2 linked regions of the Drosophila melanogaster genome follow. Changing the gene in region 1 together with any one later gene gives a genetic interaction. Each region holds a gene or a part of one and is shown in the gene's direction. Other genes may lie near its edges. The genes, in order: crq and Trpml.

The links.
Region 2: of crq (region 1) and Trpml, changing one suppresses a phenotype caused by changing the other (phenotypic suppression), as found in Drosophila melanogaster (one study listed by BioGRID).

What each region holds. Positions count from the first base shown.
Region 1 is NT_033779.5:446,287-455,369, reverse strand, and holds crq (croquemort), read left to right. Parts: upstream 1-2,345; 5' UTR 2,346-2,793; intron 2,794-4,067; exon of another isoform or gene 4,068-4,140; intron 4,141-4,491; 5' UTR 4,492-4,575; coding exon 4,576-4,704; intron 4,705-4,829; coding exon 4,830-5,935; intron 5,936-6,049; coding exon 6,050-6,140; intron 6,141-6,199; coding exon 6,200-6,349; 3' UTR 6,350-7,116; downstream 7,117-9,083. Other genes in the region: shv (shriveled), read right to left, coding at 985-1,040, 1,100-2,108; ex (expanded), read right to left, coding at 8,121-8,728, 8,787-9,083.
Region 2 is NT_037436.4:19,713,177-19,721,568, reverse strand, and holds Trpml (transient receptor potential cation channel, mucolipin), read left to right. Parts: upstream 1-3,240; 5' UTR 3,241-3,500; coding exon 3,501-3,869; intron 3,870-4,570; coding exon 4,571-5,421; intron 5,422-5,561; coding exon 5,562-6,300; 3' UTR 6,301-7,151; downstream 7,152-8,392. Other genes in the region: CG42637 (uncharacterized protein), read left to right, coding at 1-1,125.

The sequences.
Region 1 (9,083 bases):
AAAAAATCCCTTTTAAAAACAGTAAATCAAAAATAGTAGCTTCCGCAAAGTTGTATATAATTTAAATCCGCTTTATTTTGTGGGGGTTGGTTTTTGTTGCAATTCCTTTTTGTCGGCAGGAACCGCCTTAATAGTTCCCTCTCATTACACTTTTGCTATTTTACAAAATTCTAAACTAAAATTAAATTGTTTTCGCACAACTTTTTTGAACAAAGTCATCTCTTGAATTAGGGGCGTTCCCAAATCAAAGTCGCCCTGTTAGTTAGGCATTTAAAAACTAGAGTACAGCCGGCGAGCACTTTTATTGGGGATGAAACATGGGTATTCACAGTCCATTGTATATGCGATTGATGGAGGATTGGTCGAGTATTTTCTTGAGCGCTAGAATTAGAAACGTTTATTAATGAAACAATTACTCTTGTGATAATGTATATGCTAACCTTCCTTGTCCTCCTCCGTAAGATCCTTCTTGGGGAACTCCACATCGAAGGTGATGTACAGGTTGCCGGTGAGGTTGTTGTTCTCAAAGTTGGGCATGCCCTCGCCCTTCTTGCGGATTCCTGCGCCAGTTATCGACAGCTGAGCCAAGGTTGCAATAATGCAGCCTATCGATTGTCTTAATATAATAGTTTTCAAATTAAATTATTTCTGAGACAATCAAAAAATCCCTTTTAAAAACAGTAAATCAAAAATAGTAGCTTCCGCAAAGTTGTATATAATTTAAATCCGCTTTATTTTGTGGGGGTTGGTTTTTGTTGCAATTCCTTTTTGTCGGCAGGAACCGCCTTAATAGTTCCCTCTCATTACACTTTTGCTATTTTACAAAATTCTAAACTAAAATTAAATTGTTTTCGCACAACTTTTTTGAACAAAGTCATCTCTTGAATTAGGGGCGTTCCCAAATCAAAGTCGCCCTGTTAGTTAGGCATTTAAAAACTAGAGTACAGCCGGCGAGCACTTTTATTGGGGATGAAACATGGGTATTCACAGTCCATTGTATATGCGATTGATGGAGGATTGGTCGAGTATTTTCTTGAGCGCTAGAATTAGAAACGTTTATTAATGAAACAATTACTCTTGTGATAATGTATATGCTAACCTTCCTTGTCCTCCTCCGTAAGATCCTTCTTGGGGAACTCCACATCGAAGGTGATGTACAGGTTGCCGGTGAGGTTGTTGTTCTCAAAGTTGGGCATGCCCTCGCCCTTCTTGCGGATTCTAGCGCCGGGCCACGTTACCTTCTCTCTCGTGACGGGCACCAGGTGTCCATCAAGGTGCTTGATCTCCATGGAGAAGCCGACAAGGGCATCCTGCAGACTGATGGTCACGTTCGTGTACAGATCATCATTCTTGCGCAGGAATCGCGGATGCGGCATTTGTTGAACCCGCACAATGAGGTCGCCGGGCTCCCCATCGATATGTGGCTCCCCCTCGGCCACGAACCTCGTCTCTTGGCCGTCGACCATGCCCTGTTCCACCTCGATCTCCAATGTGCGCTCCTCGTTGACTAGCTTCACGTTGGGACACTCGTCGCACACCGTCTGTTGGATCATCTGGAAGCGCCCGGGTCCAAGGTTCCGGGTGACCATCTCCTGGCGGCAGTTGCATTTCCTGGTGCCTGAGGCGGGTTTCGTTACAGGCTTGTTCCTCACAATTTCCACAAAGTTTCCGGAGTATAGCTCCTCCAGGGAAACGTACAAGTCCATTACGATATCGGCGCCTCGCGGAGCATCTTGCTGCTGGCCATCACCACCGAAGTGAAAGCCGAAGTCCCCAAAGAAGCTAGAGAACGGATCACCACCGTGATCCATCATGCCCTCCTTCTTGAGGCATTCCTCGCCGCAGCGGTCGTAGGTCTTCCGTTTGTCCGGATTGGAGAGGACTTCGTAGGCCGCTCCCAGGTCCTGGAACTTTGTGGAGGCATCCGGGTCGTCCTTGTTCTTATCCGGATGCAGCTCCTTGGCCAAACGGCGATACGCCTTCTTCACTTCGTTCGTGTTGGCGTTTTTCTTTACGTTCAGTATTTTGTAGAAGTCCCGGCCGGCAAATGACTCCTCCACCAGCAAGAGGGACAGCTGAATTATAACCAAGCACTTGATAAGCTGCATTTCGTTTTTGATCCTGTTTGATTCAGCAATTCATTCTTTTTAACCAGCTGATTCGAAATACGATTTTAAATGCTGGCAAAAGTGTAAAAAAATTGTAGTTGTCGCCGCTGGCAGCTTTGTTTGTGTGTGTGAGTCGTGGTCTGCGCTGATTGGTTGGCACTGTCGTTAGGGTTGTCACCACTTCTCTAACAGAACAGCTGTTTCGCATTACAGTCAATCCAAAAACTGTGGCAACGTTGCTTACAGTGCTGTTACAGCGCATATAAACGCTTCTGGTCACACTCGCCCAGCGAAGATAAAGAAATAAATTGTTTAATCCAATTTAGCCCAGCAAACTGCAAGTTTGCAGTTTATCTTTCTCTGCTTGCCCTCTTCGGCAACGCGAAAGTGCCTTTTTTTTAGTTGGATAGCAGCTTTCAGATCAATTCCAAAGGCGCTTCCCACGCTTGAGTTTAGCTGTAAAAGTAATAAGAAGGGAAGTCTGACAATTTGAATCCCTTTCGTACGGTACTTTTGCGATTCCAGGCACCAAAGGTAAAGGGACTAAGCGATCATCGAAGCGGGAAGTCCCAGAAAAATAAATTTACTCCGAACTATGGCATAATAAATGTCAAGGCCAAAGCAAAACAATAACAGAGCCATCAGAAGCTAATGCTAAAAGACGTAGTTGTGTGTGAGATAAAAGGTGAGTAATTCATCACTTTAATTATGCAGCCGGTAATGTGCAATAATACGTGAATATAACTGTACGCCTAATTCGCAACTGGTGATGTCAACACTTTAAGCGCAAGTTGATCGAGGTTTAAGTTCAACCAGAAAGCAAACATTTCACGGGATGCAAGCTATCGCCCTCAAAAGAGAGACAACATGCAGTAAACATATATAGTGCATACACAATGCAGTTTACAACAAACTATTTTAAAAACCATTTAATATTAATCAATTATTATTAATATTAATTCGCCTTAAACAGTTAACATGAATTCTCGAGTTATCCTACTGGGACTCGTACAAGCTCAAAAGGCTCTACTGTAGTTCCAGACCCCCTTTTTTGCCTGTTATCAGTCGTTAAACAAAGAAATATTCATTGTAGTATAGAGCCAGCCCAATAATCCGACAAAAACAAGACTGAGTCAGTCGACGGGAGGAAACAAAGCAGGGAATCGAAATTGCAATACGATATGCACCAGACTTACGATAAAAACAGGCCCCGTTCCTATTGCATTAAAAGAACTTTGGATTACAGGACGGATCAAGGCTGATATGGTATAGTAAAGCATATTTCGACCGAATTATCAGTATCTCCACAAAGCTAATCTTATCAGTGCCATAAATAGGAACCCCTTGTGAGAACATCTTGACCAACCAACCACAGAAGCAAATAGCCGAGAAATGCGGGTATTACCCAGATAACGATACTAAACACTATCTTAGACTTGAATGAATTTGAATTGCAGACAAGCATGGACATAAATAACATCTAGGCATGAAATTACCATAATTATAAATGTTTATAATATTAAAAGGAATTTTAACTATTGTAAATCAATCTGCCATAAAACCTACTCACTCGATCAGAATAACCACCCGAGTCGATCTAGCCATCCGCCTTCGCATGAACGCTTTGATCTCGCGAACTATAAATGTTAGAAAGATAAGATTTTCATTTCTATCGCTATGCTACAAATATTTGCAACATACCCACTCTGAATACCAAAATATTAAAATTTTGTGGCAGCCAGCTACCTGAGTTACGAGTAACTGAAAGTCGAGGAATTCGAGTAGAGTGATCTCTTTTTTGTGTTTCTCCAAACGCATCCAAGTTAATGCCAATCAAGCAAATATTCCCGACTAGCAAAGTCCAGAGATTAATAAACGAACCGAGTGGTAATTGAACGTCAAGTGAACCCATTAAAAGACACACAGTAGACCGCTGGCCACCAGTTTCGCCCTGCCAGGGGACGCGTACGGTTTTGATAGTTCCGATTGTGCTAAGGCCGGAATATTTTCGATCCCCTTTGATTGAAAACTAGTAAGTTTAGGCGACCTAAACAGTGGCAAGTGCTAGAAAACTGAATAGATCTGCGGATGTCTGCACTTGAAGTTGACTGTGCGGATAAGTGGGCTGTCCCACGTAATCTTCTCCAACTGTCATGGACTGCAAAATATATTCAAAAATATACACTTATAATCGCCGATGCTTATCGAATACTTAAGCAGGGACCAGCCGGCGATAAGCCTTGGTCTTATTATTTTCAAAATTACCAACTCTGCAGGGTGCCAGGATGGGTGTACCGGGAAATAAACTAATAAAAATTCGATACGGATTATGGACATTGATTATACAAGGAAAAATAACCCCACAAACTGTCTTCACTTCCAGATGCAACTAACTGCCTAGGGCTGGATTATTCCCACCTTGGCTATTCCTTAAAAGCGTGAACCTTTGGAATCCTACGTATCCACCATGTGCTGCAAGTGCTGCGGGGAAACTCAACGAAAGGTCTGGGTCTTCGGCTTGGGATCGGTTTTCCTTTTGCTGGGAATACTAATCGTGGTCTTCTGGCCGGGTATTGCAGATAACCTTGTAGAGGATGTAAGTATATTTAGCCGTCCGAGATTGCGTATTACAGGTTCAGGGAAATATGTTTACCGAACGATAACTAAAAAAAAAAAAGATTTTCATTTCGACATACTAAAATGAACTTAATCTTTACCCAGGGCCTTACCCTCAAGCCCGGGACTGATGCCTATGAAAGCTGGCTGGAGGCACCTATCCCCATTTACCTGAGCTTTTACATGTTCAATTGGACGAATCCCGAGGACATAAGGAACCCGGACATTAAGCCAAACTTCGTGGAAATGGGTCCGTACACCTTCCTGGAAAAGCACAAGAAGGAGAACTATACGTTTTACGATAATGCAACGGTGGCATATTATGAGCGCCGCACATGGTTCTTTGATCCGGAGAGATCCAATGGCACATTGGACGACATGGTGACTGCTGCCCATGCCATTACCGCCACGGTAGCGGATGAGATGCGAGACCAGCGCAAGATCGTCAAAAAAATCATAAACTTTATGCTGAACCATGAAGGCGGAAAGTTGTACGTAACCAAGCCGGTGGGCGAATGGATCTTCGAGGGTTACCAGGATAACATTACCGATTTCCTAAACCTGTTCAACACCACAAAGATCGACATACCCTACAAACGCTTCGGGTGGCTGGCGGACCGCAATGAGTCGCTGACTTACGATGGCTTGTTTACTATTCACACGGGCACTGACGATATATCTAATCTGGGTAGACTTACCCACTGGAATGGAAAATCAGAAACTGGATTTTACGAGATGCCTTGTGGCATTGTTAATGGAACCACGGGCGACATGTTCCCGCCAAAGATGAATGTAAACGATGAGATTACGATTTTTGCCACCGATGCTTGCAGATTTATGAACCTCCGGCCCCGGGGCACATACGAGAATCACGGCCTGACCGCCACTAAGTGGGTAGGCACCGAGGAGACTCTGGACTCCGGAGAAAACTACCCTAACCAGGCGTGCTTCTGTGATGAGGCGCGATTTGATGAATGTCCCAAGACCGGTGTCGTGGAGTGCAAGGCGTGCCGAGACAAAGCACCCATTTACTCCTCCTTCCCTCACTTTTACCTAGCGGATCAGTCGTATGTTGATGCTGTCAGTGGAATGAAGCCGGAGAAGGAGAAGCACGAGTTCTTCCTAGCCGTGGAACCGATTACTGGAGTGCCTGTCCAAGTGCATGGACGCATCCAGATTAATATGATGATTGAGCCCGATGACGACTTCGAGTAAGTAAAGTAAAAGTTCATGGATAAAAACTACTCATACGATTCATACAATTACGTACATAAAAGCAAAGGTCTCAAGGAAAATGTAAGTCATAAAGTAAATTTTATTTGCAGCATATATCGTGGAGTGCAAAAGGTTTTAATGCCCATGTTCTGGTTCGATCAGTATGCAGAGCTCTCCTCCGAATTGGCATCGAAGGCCAAGGTAAGACCTAATCCATATTTGAAATGTCTTTCATTTAAGTGCCATACTTTCCATTTCAGTTGGCCATTAATTTGTCCAGTTACGGAATCATATTCGGCTATTCCATGATAGCTTTTGCCAGTGTCTTTCTCATCACCGGCATCACGCTGACTGTGACGAAAAAGTGGGTGCGGCGAACTCCCGAGGATGAGGACATACTTACCAACTAGAGCAAAATAGTTTTTAAGCTTTGCCAAAGTGCCAGGAATTGTTAACTCTCCTAGTTCATTCTGATAGTCGCCCGTCAAATGCTGTTCTTTGTCAGTTATGCGTTATGTAATATGTAAGTGATACGAATCGACGTTCGTCTTGCAGTTTGTGATAGCAAAACCTACTCTAAAAAAAAAACTAAAAACTACTCTAACTCTAAAAAAAAAACCTTACTCTATCTGCATATTACACGAATCATTCACAAGTTGAAACTTTCTGTTTGAGACTTAAGTTATCGTACTTGATAAACAATACTTCATACAACTAAAACACTCCGTGCATTTTATTTTAACGTTTTTATTTGAATTTTCATTTATTTTGAAAAGATAGTTTTTTACAATTTCTGTATGCTTTTCTGCAGGACTTTTACTTATCGTATACGATTGTTGGATGCTTTAACGATTTGCTTTATAAATGCATTATTCAAATGTTGTTTTGTAAATTAATAAATAAAAATAATTGTATACGTATATATATTTATTTATATATATGTATATATATTGGTGTATATGTAAGATATATGGCAAAAATTTTACATTTTCTCAAAGATCACATTCCTCAATTTAGCCATAGACTTTTAGTCGAGAAAAATCTACGCAAATATTTGTGACATCCATCAAAAACTCAAATTAATTTTTGCACGCACACTAACACATCCAAAAAAACAGTGGGGGATTATTAATCGAACAAAAAATAATAAACAAAGTGGATACAAAAAATAAATGATAATCATCTCTCGCTTATTACTATGGTGGGGATGGAGGGCAAGTCTAGGCACTCTTGAAATTCTTTAGTTCCCTTCGTCCAGCGATCGGAGCAAGCAAACCCATTTCAAACCATTTCATAGCCGATTTGAATGCTTTTCACTTGATTCTACCGCTGGCCCGATTCGTTGTGAGTATGTGTGTGTGTGTATAAAGAGCGACGTTGCTACGTACTAAAAAATTTGCATAGTATATGTTGCGTTGTTCTTGGTGACTAAAATAGTTATAAATTTAGTATAAGTTTAAATAAAAATCAATCACAGTTGTTTGGGCGGAAGTAGTTAGTTTTAAGTATTCGCATTTCTGGCCTAACTAAGTATTTGCAGCTAAGACTAAAGATCTACGATGTAGTTTAGTAAATTAGGTAGTGGTCGTATTTTATACTTGAGTATTGTTGCTTCCCATTTTGATAAGCTTCCTCTCTATTTCCGATGTTGTGTCATGTTGTGGTCTGTGCTGTGGTTACGTTACCAATTCCCTTAAGTGACTAGACTGGGTTCTGATTATTTGAATGTGTATTTTGAGGTTACGTTGCTCACGTCCTGTAGGCTTAAGTATTGACTCTGTGATATTCAGTTGTTTCAGTGGCTCGTGTATTTTACCATCTGAAGTTGGTGGACCTGCTAGTTTGTGTTTTTCTAAAAAACTGTCTTCGCTAGTTAAATGCATGTTAGTTCCTACTAAATAGCTATTGTTTCTGCTGTTCTGACAAATGGTTTCTCACGGTGGGTTTTCGTTTACATTTACCCTTTTGTGCCCGGCGAATCTTTACCCTTCGAAACACTGTGATCGAATTTATATAACGCTACACCACCCGATCTATGCAAATTTCCGAACGCAGAATTAGCTCTTCACCTGGGCACACTCATACATCAGCACTTCGAACAGCAATCGAACTAGAGAGAAGAGTGTCGTATTGGACCCCCAATGTCCACTTCCGTTCCGGTTTCCAATTAGCTTGTCGAGTCTAGCTGGTCTTGTTGTGCTGCTGCTGCTGCTGCTGTTGCTTCATCATGACAGCGGGATCGATCACGTAGTTGTTGGCCTCCGCCAATTGTTGGACAGGTAAAGGCGGCAGTTTGTCCTGCGGATGACGGTGGCTTACGGTAGATCCTTTTCTGGCCTTGCTTAGGGTTCCTGCTCCTGCAGAGGAGTTGGCAACTCCATTTGTGGTGGCACCTGAAGGTTGCGCACTGGAAGTGGGCATCTCCTGGCCAGTCTTCGGATTTATAACAACCTTAGTCTGTTTCAGCAAGGAGCGATCGTTGCAGAGCGCCGAGATCAGCGGCAGATCTAGATGCTTGCTCTTCTCCCGAAGAAGCGCAATGTCTAGCGCTTGGGCCTGTGCCTGGGCATGAGACTGGGCTACCATTGAAGCCTGCAGCTGGGCCAAAATGCTGTTGTTTCCCCGGTTCAATCCCAGACCAAGACCCAAGTCAGGTCTCGGACGCTCACCTGCCCACTGGGCGCCGCTGGAGGTCTTTGTTAGCGGTGAGTTCGCATGATGCGGATTCAACGTTGGGGGTTTTCGTGGTGGAATCGGGCTCATCCTGCTAGGAATTGGCTTAGAGGGTACTGAAAATCGGAGAGATTAATAAGATATCGAAATGAATCTAAATGTAAAGTTACTCACTTGGAGGTGGCTTTTCACTGGGCGCCGGCATGGGTGGTTTCTTTAGCCGTCTGTTTACATACGGTGGTGGTGGCGGCGGTGGCAGTCGTTTTCCCTTGGGCAGCAAATCTAGTGAGTTCAGAATATTGTCATCTGATCGCGATCGCGCAAACATCGAGGAAGACGAGGAGCCAGCCCCCGCCGCAGCAGCTGCTGCTAGAGCAGCCGGGTGAAGGGGAGGAGGCGGTGGAGGCTCATACGAGGAGCATAGGCTGGCCATCGAAGGAGAGTACAGGGGTGAGTATCCGGGTCCTGGAA
Region 2 (8,392 bases), on another chromosome or scaffold:
GTCAGCAAACGTGACAGGGATCGAGAGCGACCCCCCATCAATGGACTGGGCGCAGGGCACTTCGTGGGGGGAGCTCTCCTCGAATCCGCACAGGCCTCGCTTAGCACGCTGAATCATTCCGAAACAAACGAAACTAACTGTGATATGGATGGGGGATCGGGAGGAGTGTCAGGATCTGGATCTGGATTAGTGCGTCAACCCAATGCACTGCACAAACCGTTGGCCATGGTGCGGCCGCACCGGATTATTAGTGCTGCCCAGCTACCCCAACTGGGAGATAACGATGATGACTCCGCAGACACGCTGTTGCGGGAGTCTCGCTCCCTGGATCCCATGCCCATGCAGCAACTGCGCAAACGTCACGACAGGGTAAAGTTGCCGCCCTCGAAGTTGTCCAAGAACAATTCCCGATCGCTGGACACGGGTGTATCGCTGATCAGTGGGAATCCCAACGGTGAAGTGCACTCGAGTCAACTGGATTTGGATAACGAGATGACCGCCAACCCGGTGGATGCCACCGATGGCTACGACGATGAGCTGGGCCTTCTGATGCGCCACGACAACGGCCAACTGCCTGCTCTCCGCTATTCAGGCAGCTTTCCCAACGCTCAGATTAGCATTGTTCCTACAGGAAGGTCAGCAGGAGGAGGAGGAGGAGGAAGAGAAGGAGGTGGGAGCAACTGTGCCAAGCATCTGAACAACAACTGCAACGGAGGAGTGAACGTCGAGGATGATCTTGAGTCGCCCCTGCTGCAACGCCAGGCATCGCTGTCGGTGCCGCCAGAGGAGATGCTGGCGCACAACAAACGTTGGCACTCACTGGAGCACATGGATGGTCCCGGTGGGCATGGCGGAAATAGCGTTAGCTATGCCGCCGATATTGATAACCGCCACCCCGGAGATCTGGACTTCTTCAGCGGTTCCTCCAATCAGCATCATAGATCCAAAGCGGCTGGTGGGAGTAAGCTGACTAACTGGATGACTAACATCTTCAAGGGCAACGGCGTGCGTAGCGGTGAGGCTAGGCGAGTAGGAATCCTGCCCAGCGGTGTGCACGGCGCACGAACCGGATTCACGGATATGGCGGCATCGGCAGCAGCCCGCGATCGTGAGAGTATAGTATAGAGATAAGGAGAAGGCAGTGTAGAAACTAAGGAAGAAGGAGCAGGATGACCAGGATGAGCTAAATAGCCGGATGAGAGAGATGGAAAAGTTACTCAGGAACCGAGTCGAGCAGGAAACGATCGTCTTTTGGCTTACTTCTTTGTTTTATGTATTGTAGTTTGTATGGATCGAACGAATTGTGTGTCTGTGTTGGAAGTCATCCACCTATAAACATATACCAGCCGGTTCTTAACTCTTTGATCGCTCTGGCATTGCGGGACTCTACATATGTGTCCTATGGGTTTCCAAACTATTTTTATTCGTTTTCGAGGAAAATCCTGCGATCCCGAAGTAGAAGCGAGCAGAAGCTGAAGCGAAAATCATACATAGCATATATTTTATAACTCTACATACATACATATTAGAGAAGCCGAAAAAACCGTCTAGTCACAAGGTCTTCAGACTAGTTATTGTTTTATATAAAATAAACACACACCCACACATCTAAATGTACGTTTGTAAATGTAACACATAAACACAACGACACACATATTTATACGACGATGGAGAATCAAAATCAAATATTTTATGTAAATGTAATCGAAATTTTCTGCTTTCCATACACGATGCGCAGCAGCAAACAAATTATGCTTAAACAGAAACTAGTTAATTTATGTATTTGAAAATCAAAACGAGCGTGAAAAATGTAATGTATCAATGTGTTTTGCTAGTACGTAGTTAAGTGCGTGTGATTGTACGTAATATTTAAGTCTCTAAAGCTAAAATAATAATTATAATTAATTGAACGCGAATTGTGAGCAGAGAAGAGCGAAAATGCGCCCGATGAGAGGTGTTTTAGCTGTATGTATGTATGTATGTATATTTTTAAATGAAAATTTGTTAAATTTGCCATATATAAATACAAACGAGAAACTATTAAAAGTGTGTTTGTCCAGATATGCTTAAATGGTGCAAAATGTTCAATAGATGGTAGATACGAGGGTGAATCCTGCGGGAAAGACTAGAAACTTGGAGAACACTTCTTCTAAAAGAAACATTTTTAAAATATTCCGAGCACTGGGAACAGTTGTGTTTTGTGTTTCGACAAACATTTCTGAAGTCGTGGTGAATACAAAAAAACATGTTAAGCATATAAGAGATCACTGTAAGTGTGATCTCACGATAAGATCTCTGTAAGTTCTTGCAACTAAAGCCATCGATTCATTGGAACTCCTTTTGAAATGTTTATGCACTGGGAACAGTGAAACGTATGGGAAGACTTCGTGGGTTTTATCAAGAGTTCTTCTTGGGCAGAAAGAAAACATTTGTTTTTTCCTGTGAGTATTATATTTGCTCCAAATGATTATGTATTATTTTACGCTTTTAGTTTATTGGAACTCCTTTTGAAATGTTTATGCACTGGGAACAGTGAAACGTATGGGAAGACTTCGTGGGTTTTATCAAGAGTTCTTCTTGGGCAGAAAGAAAACATTTGTTTTTTCCTGTGAGTATTATATTTGCTCCAAATGATTATGTATTATTTTACGCTTTTAGTTTATTTTTTAACTTCAATTTAATAAGATAACTAAGCATTAGTGACAGATGTTGACATATGTAAGTACGTACGTATGTTTAATGTAAAATACAATGTCAAAAATGAGGTAGCAGTTTTCAAGACCGCAAAATAAAGTTGATTTCTCATAAATTCAAAAATATAAAAAAAGGAAATAGTCATATTTCTTGAACATAAAAGAATAATAAATGGATGGACCTCAATATAATTTTGAATGTACGTCCATGTAGCGTCGATGAGTTAGCTGCGTTAGAGGAACGGCGGAATTTGGAATACGGGGAAGTTTTTAATTAATTATTTTTTCGATATTTAGAGCTGAGTTCTATAAACTGAACTCGTACATAGATAGTTAGATCTTTTCTTTCTTAACATTATTTAATTTTTTTTGGAATTCACCTCCAAATAACGGAAAAAAATAAATAAATAGGAAAGTTCTCCATGTTTCATGTTTCACCGTGCTGCACTTGAATTTTGACTACCGATGAAAAGGCGCGCGATTTAAATAATCGATGATTGCAAGCAACTATCGATGCTGAACTCTATTTGGAACAGTCGATTATATCGAATAAACATCTGTAATCGTTTAAACCTATTGAAAACAAAGCAATTTTCGTGGTCTTTTGGCCAGTATTTAATATAAATTCGCTGGCAAAAGTCGCGTATTAATTGCAAAAGAACACATATTTACCTCCCCTCCCCCGATTGCTTGTTGCGCCTGTGCGGATTCTTCTTTTGCATGTCGACTGGGCGGGCAAAAGAAAGTTAGCACGGAGAACAACAACGCAGGTGACTTGACCTCGCAACGAAGGAGGAGCACATCGAGATGCAGAGCTACGGCCCCGGAGCCCAGACAGCTCCGGCCGTCAAGCGCCGCACGGACAGCTACGAGGCTGCCCAGCAACAGCAGCAGTCGCCGGAGAGCGACGAGGAGTACGTGAACACCAGGATACTGCGGCGCCAAGTGCAGCTGCAGTCCACTCCGGTGGCCCCGGTGGTGCCCATGCCCATATCCGCCGGTAGTGGCACTGCCCCACCCTCCGTGGATGGCCGCGAGGAGCAGCCCGAATTCCCCGGATCCTCGGCTGCATCTTACCAGGAGGAGCGAATGCGCAGGAAGCTTCAGTTCTTCTTTATGAACCCCATTGAGAAATGGCAGGCCAAGCGGAAATTTCCGTACAAGTTCGTTGTGCAGGTGAGTTCACATCCGGGTTTCATTTGCAGTTCACATCTGGATGAATGCTAGTTAATTGAAGTCGTGTGATGCGCGGCGTTTGGGGGCGGAACTCGGGTGACACATCTGAACCACTTATTTAGGCATTTCTCTTAATTTACAGACGCCTTTAAACAGCCGTCTCCGATCTTCAATGTTTGTCTAGATTTCGAGCATGTAAAATGGGGTAGAGTCAACACAGTCTTGATTACTTTGCTTGCATTGTTAAGCCCCTCCACTCTTATCGATGCCTTATCTGATAGGTCCAACTATTGTTAGCACAATACGTAATAAACAAAGTGAAAATTCAAGAATTTTATGGCTAGAAACTGCGTGTGGACGCTTTTGTAGAACCCAAAAAGTTATTTAATATGCGATAAACATCGTGGTCAGGGGGATTTCTTTTGTGCGATTTTTAATGATTAATGCGAAAATGTTATGACTAGTCTTTAAGTCTACACTTAGTCTCTAAGGTCTACAACTAAATTAGATTTCCTGTAGATACCCAATAAATATAGTCTGACGCATGCTCTAACATAATTCGGCTTCTATTTATAGCCCAGCCTCTAGATCTCTGAACTGGCGACCAAGAAAAGGTCCGTCCCCTGAGGCCAAAAGGCAAATAGAAACTTTAAAAGTTATACTATAAACATTTCTTAGCAACTCAAGAATTTTTCTCTTAGATTGTAAAAATCTTTCTGGTGACGATGCAATTGTGCCTTTTTGCCCACTCGCGGTATAACCACATCAACTACACGGGTGATAACCGATTTGCCTTCTCACATCTATTCCTGCGCGGCTGGGATTCTTCCCGGGAGGTGGAGAGTTATCCGCCTGCTGTGGGTCCCTTTGCTCTATACCTCAAATCGGAGTTCTTCGACACTGTGCAGTATGCAGTCAATGGCTACGCGAATGTAAGCCGATCTATTGGACCATACGACTACCCGACGCCCAATAACACAATGCCGCCACTAAAGCTTTGCCTGCAGAACTATAGAGAGGGCACCATATTTGGCTTTAATGAGTCCTACATTTTCGATCCACATATCGACGAGGTGTGTGAGCGACTACCTCCGAACGTAACCACCATTGGGGTGGAGAATTACCTCAGGCAGCGCGATGTGGAGGTCAATTTTGCATCTCTTGTCTCCGCACAGTTGACGTTCAAGATAAAGACGGTTAATTTCAAGGCAAATGGTGGACCTCTTTCTGCTCCTGATTGTTTTCGGTTTGACATTTCCATAACGTTTAACAACCGAGACCATGACGGGCAAATGCTGCTCTCACTGGATGCGGAGGCGACGCGGCTGAAGTGCCACGGAGCAACGGACTTCATATCAGACGCCAATTTCGATTCCATGCTGCGAAGCGTACTTAATATATTCGTCCTACTAACATGCGCACTATCCTTTGCACTCTGTACAAGGGCTCTGTGGAGAGCATATCTGCTGAGATGTACAACTGTCAACTTTTTCCGTTCGCAATTCGGCAAGGAGCTGAGCTTTGACGGCCGACTGGAATTCGTTAACTTTTGGTGAGTCCTTTGTTTTGTGTTATAAAAACCTCGGCTATATTGGCAACAAGTATTACCCATAATGCTGAAGGTTAGGCCGACGTAAACCCAAAAATTATCAGAAAGGTTGCAGACTATAATAAACCGTTTTGCTTTCGCAGGTACATCATGATCATTTTCAATGACGTCCTTTTGATCATTGGATCAGCTCTAAAAGAGCAAATCGAGGGAAGGTACTTGGTGGTGGACCAATGGGATACCTGCTCGCTTTTTCTGGGAATTGGCAACCTGCTTGTTTGGTTCGGAGTGCTGCGCTACCTCGGCTTCTTCAAAACCTACAACGTTGTGATACTGACGCTGAAAAAGGCGGCACCAAAGATTCTGCGCTTCCTTATCGCCGCCTTGCTGATCTATGCTGGATTTGTGTTTTGCGGCTGGCTGATCTTGGGACCCTATCACATGAAGTTCCGATCGCTGGCTACAACGTCAGAGTGCTTGTTTGCGCTGATAAACGGTGATGATATGTTCGCCACCTTTGCCACGCTTTCCAGCAAGGCCACCTGGCTGTGGTGGTTCTGCCAGATCTACTTGTACTCGTTCATATCCTTGTACATTTATGTGGTCCTGTCGCTGTTCATTGCCGTCATAATGGATGCCTACGACACGATAAAGGCGTATTACAAGGATGGCTTTCCCACCACCGATCTCAAGGCATTTGTCGGAACGCGCACTGCAGAGGACATTAGTTCTGGTGTCTTCATGACCGACCTGGACGACTTCGACCAGACGAGCTTCCTTGACGTGGTGAAGAGCATTTGCTGCTGTGGACGGTGCGGTCGGCATCAGGAGCCCGCCCAGCCCAACAGTGGTTACACCAGCCTTTCTAGTATTATGAAGTAACTGGGTGCGCTATGTCGACCCGCAGGTCTTCATTTTGTTTTGTTTTGTCAGCTTTATGTGTGTAGTCAAACTTGTTGTTAGCTTTTTGTATTAGTTTGTTAATTTGCCAAAGCACTTGAACCGAGATAAGAGAAACCATAACGTACGTACCTATGAGAAATTCCAAAAGCAGCTGCTCTGATCACAAACAGCGGGCATGTTCCGATTTTATCTTTCGCAGCAATGGCTTTAATTCGGTTTGCAGAAATATAATTCTGACTGAAATTCATTTTTCTTCAATACAAAAATTACAAAATGTATAAGACCAAAAGGAAAAACTAAATGTAAGGCGAATTTGTGTCATTTCTGCGAAAGTAAAATCCGAAAAATGACTAAGAAAGGGCACCAAGCAACGCTGTACGCTGGGAAACCACAAAGTCGCAAATTTGTTTTTGTAACGCGAGATATTAAGTGTGTGATATAATGTGGAACCAGAATCGGAGAACAATGGAAATTATATTAGAGGGAGCTATTTTTGTTAGCGATATCGACATGGGCCTGGTCAAGATCTTCCATGAAAACGAATGCATCCGAATCGAGTTTTCATAGAAATCTGAAAGTCACAGCAAAAAATTGTATAAAACTGCACTGGTCGACAAAATGAGATTTTTGGCAGTCTAAGCAAATAGTTATTTTAGAAAGTGTTTAGTTCGGCATAACACAACATCGATTTTTGTCGACTTGTGTCAATTTCAGAAGCCATAGATAAGGAAACATTAGGTAACTATATTTTATGTGTACAATGAAAACTTTGTATTTATAACCAAAAACCACAAACACAATAAACTGTTTATAGAACGATTGAATTGAACAAATTGCACTTTGAACCAAAATTTATTACAACGATATGCAACAAAAATGTGTACAACAAAAATAATTAATTGTGAGCTTAACCAAAACGAGGAACAATGAAGTCTACTTTTATCTTCAGATGTAGGTGGCGCAATGTTTTAATGTTTTGACCAGGAAGACAATCGTTAAATTATTTTGTGGTAAGGATACATCCAAAACAGTCAACATAATAAGTGTCAAGAAACCAAGCGAAACATTTCTACAATCGGATAATTGCATTGCAAGAAAAGAAAACCCAATAAAAGGGAAAGGAATAAATGGTTTCACAGTAATTGGACATTTAATAATTTGGCCGATGTTAAATTTTTGCGGTTTTAAGCGTGAATTTCATTGAATGTTTTGCAAGAATTCGCCGAAACGAGATGAGCAAATTTTAATGAAATGGAAAACTGGTTCTCCAATTGACGTAAATTTCATCAGGCAGATGCTGTGCGTCTTCGTTGAAGCGGAAACCGTCCAAGCCAAAGACTTATTTTACTTAATCTTAATTGGAAATTCGAGCCGAGTGGCACCAGCCTGGCCAGTTGGCAGTCTAGCCTTATTCCTCTATGCAAATGTCAAGAGTGGCAAAAATAGACAATGACAATTCAGAAAGGTCCCTCGCCGATCCGCAAAGCACTTTGGCACACTTTAGAGTTGGAGCCACTAGAAATCAGAAAGAAACTGGAAAAAAAGCTGAATAAAACGCTCAAGTTGGTGGCAGTTCGTCACGCCTTTAGACGCCTCTCTGTCAGCTGGCAGTCGTCGAGCCACGACGTACCGCTCTGTGGGCCATAAATGGCTTTAATTTGGCTTTAAAATGATCAAGGTCGCTGCGGGTAAAAAACTGCTTTTAAATTGGAACGGCCAGACGACGCAGAGGAACTACTTAGCAGTCAAATTATAAAAAATAATCGAAGATGTATCTTTCTTCAAGTTTGTTTGAAGAAATACGAACTTGCAATACACTTTCCGGTTAATTTTAGAAAAGAAGCAAACACAGTTTCTTATTTTACTTGACATAGCTAAGATACATTCTTCTTATTGATTATTAATTGTTGAGCCATATCCATTGAATCTCCTCATGTAGAATATAATATCTATATTATTATAAAGTTCTAACTAGGCTTGAATATTTTATTGGTCAAGAAATTTGTATTCGGCATTCCACAGTCTTCGGGTGGAGACGTGTTTCTTTCAAGCTACGAATAGCAAGTTCTAA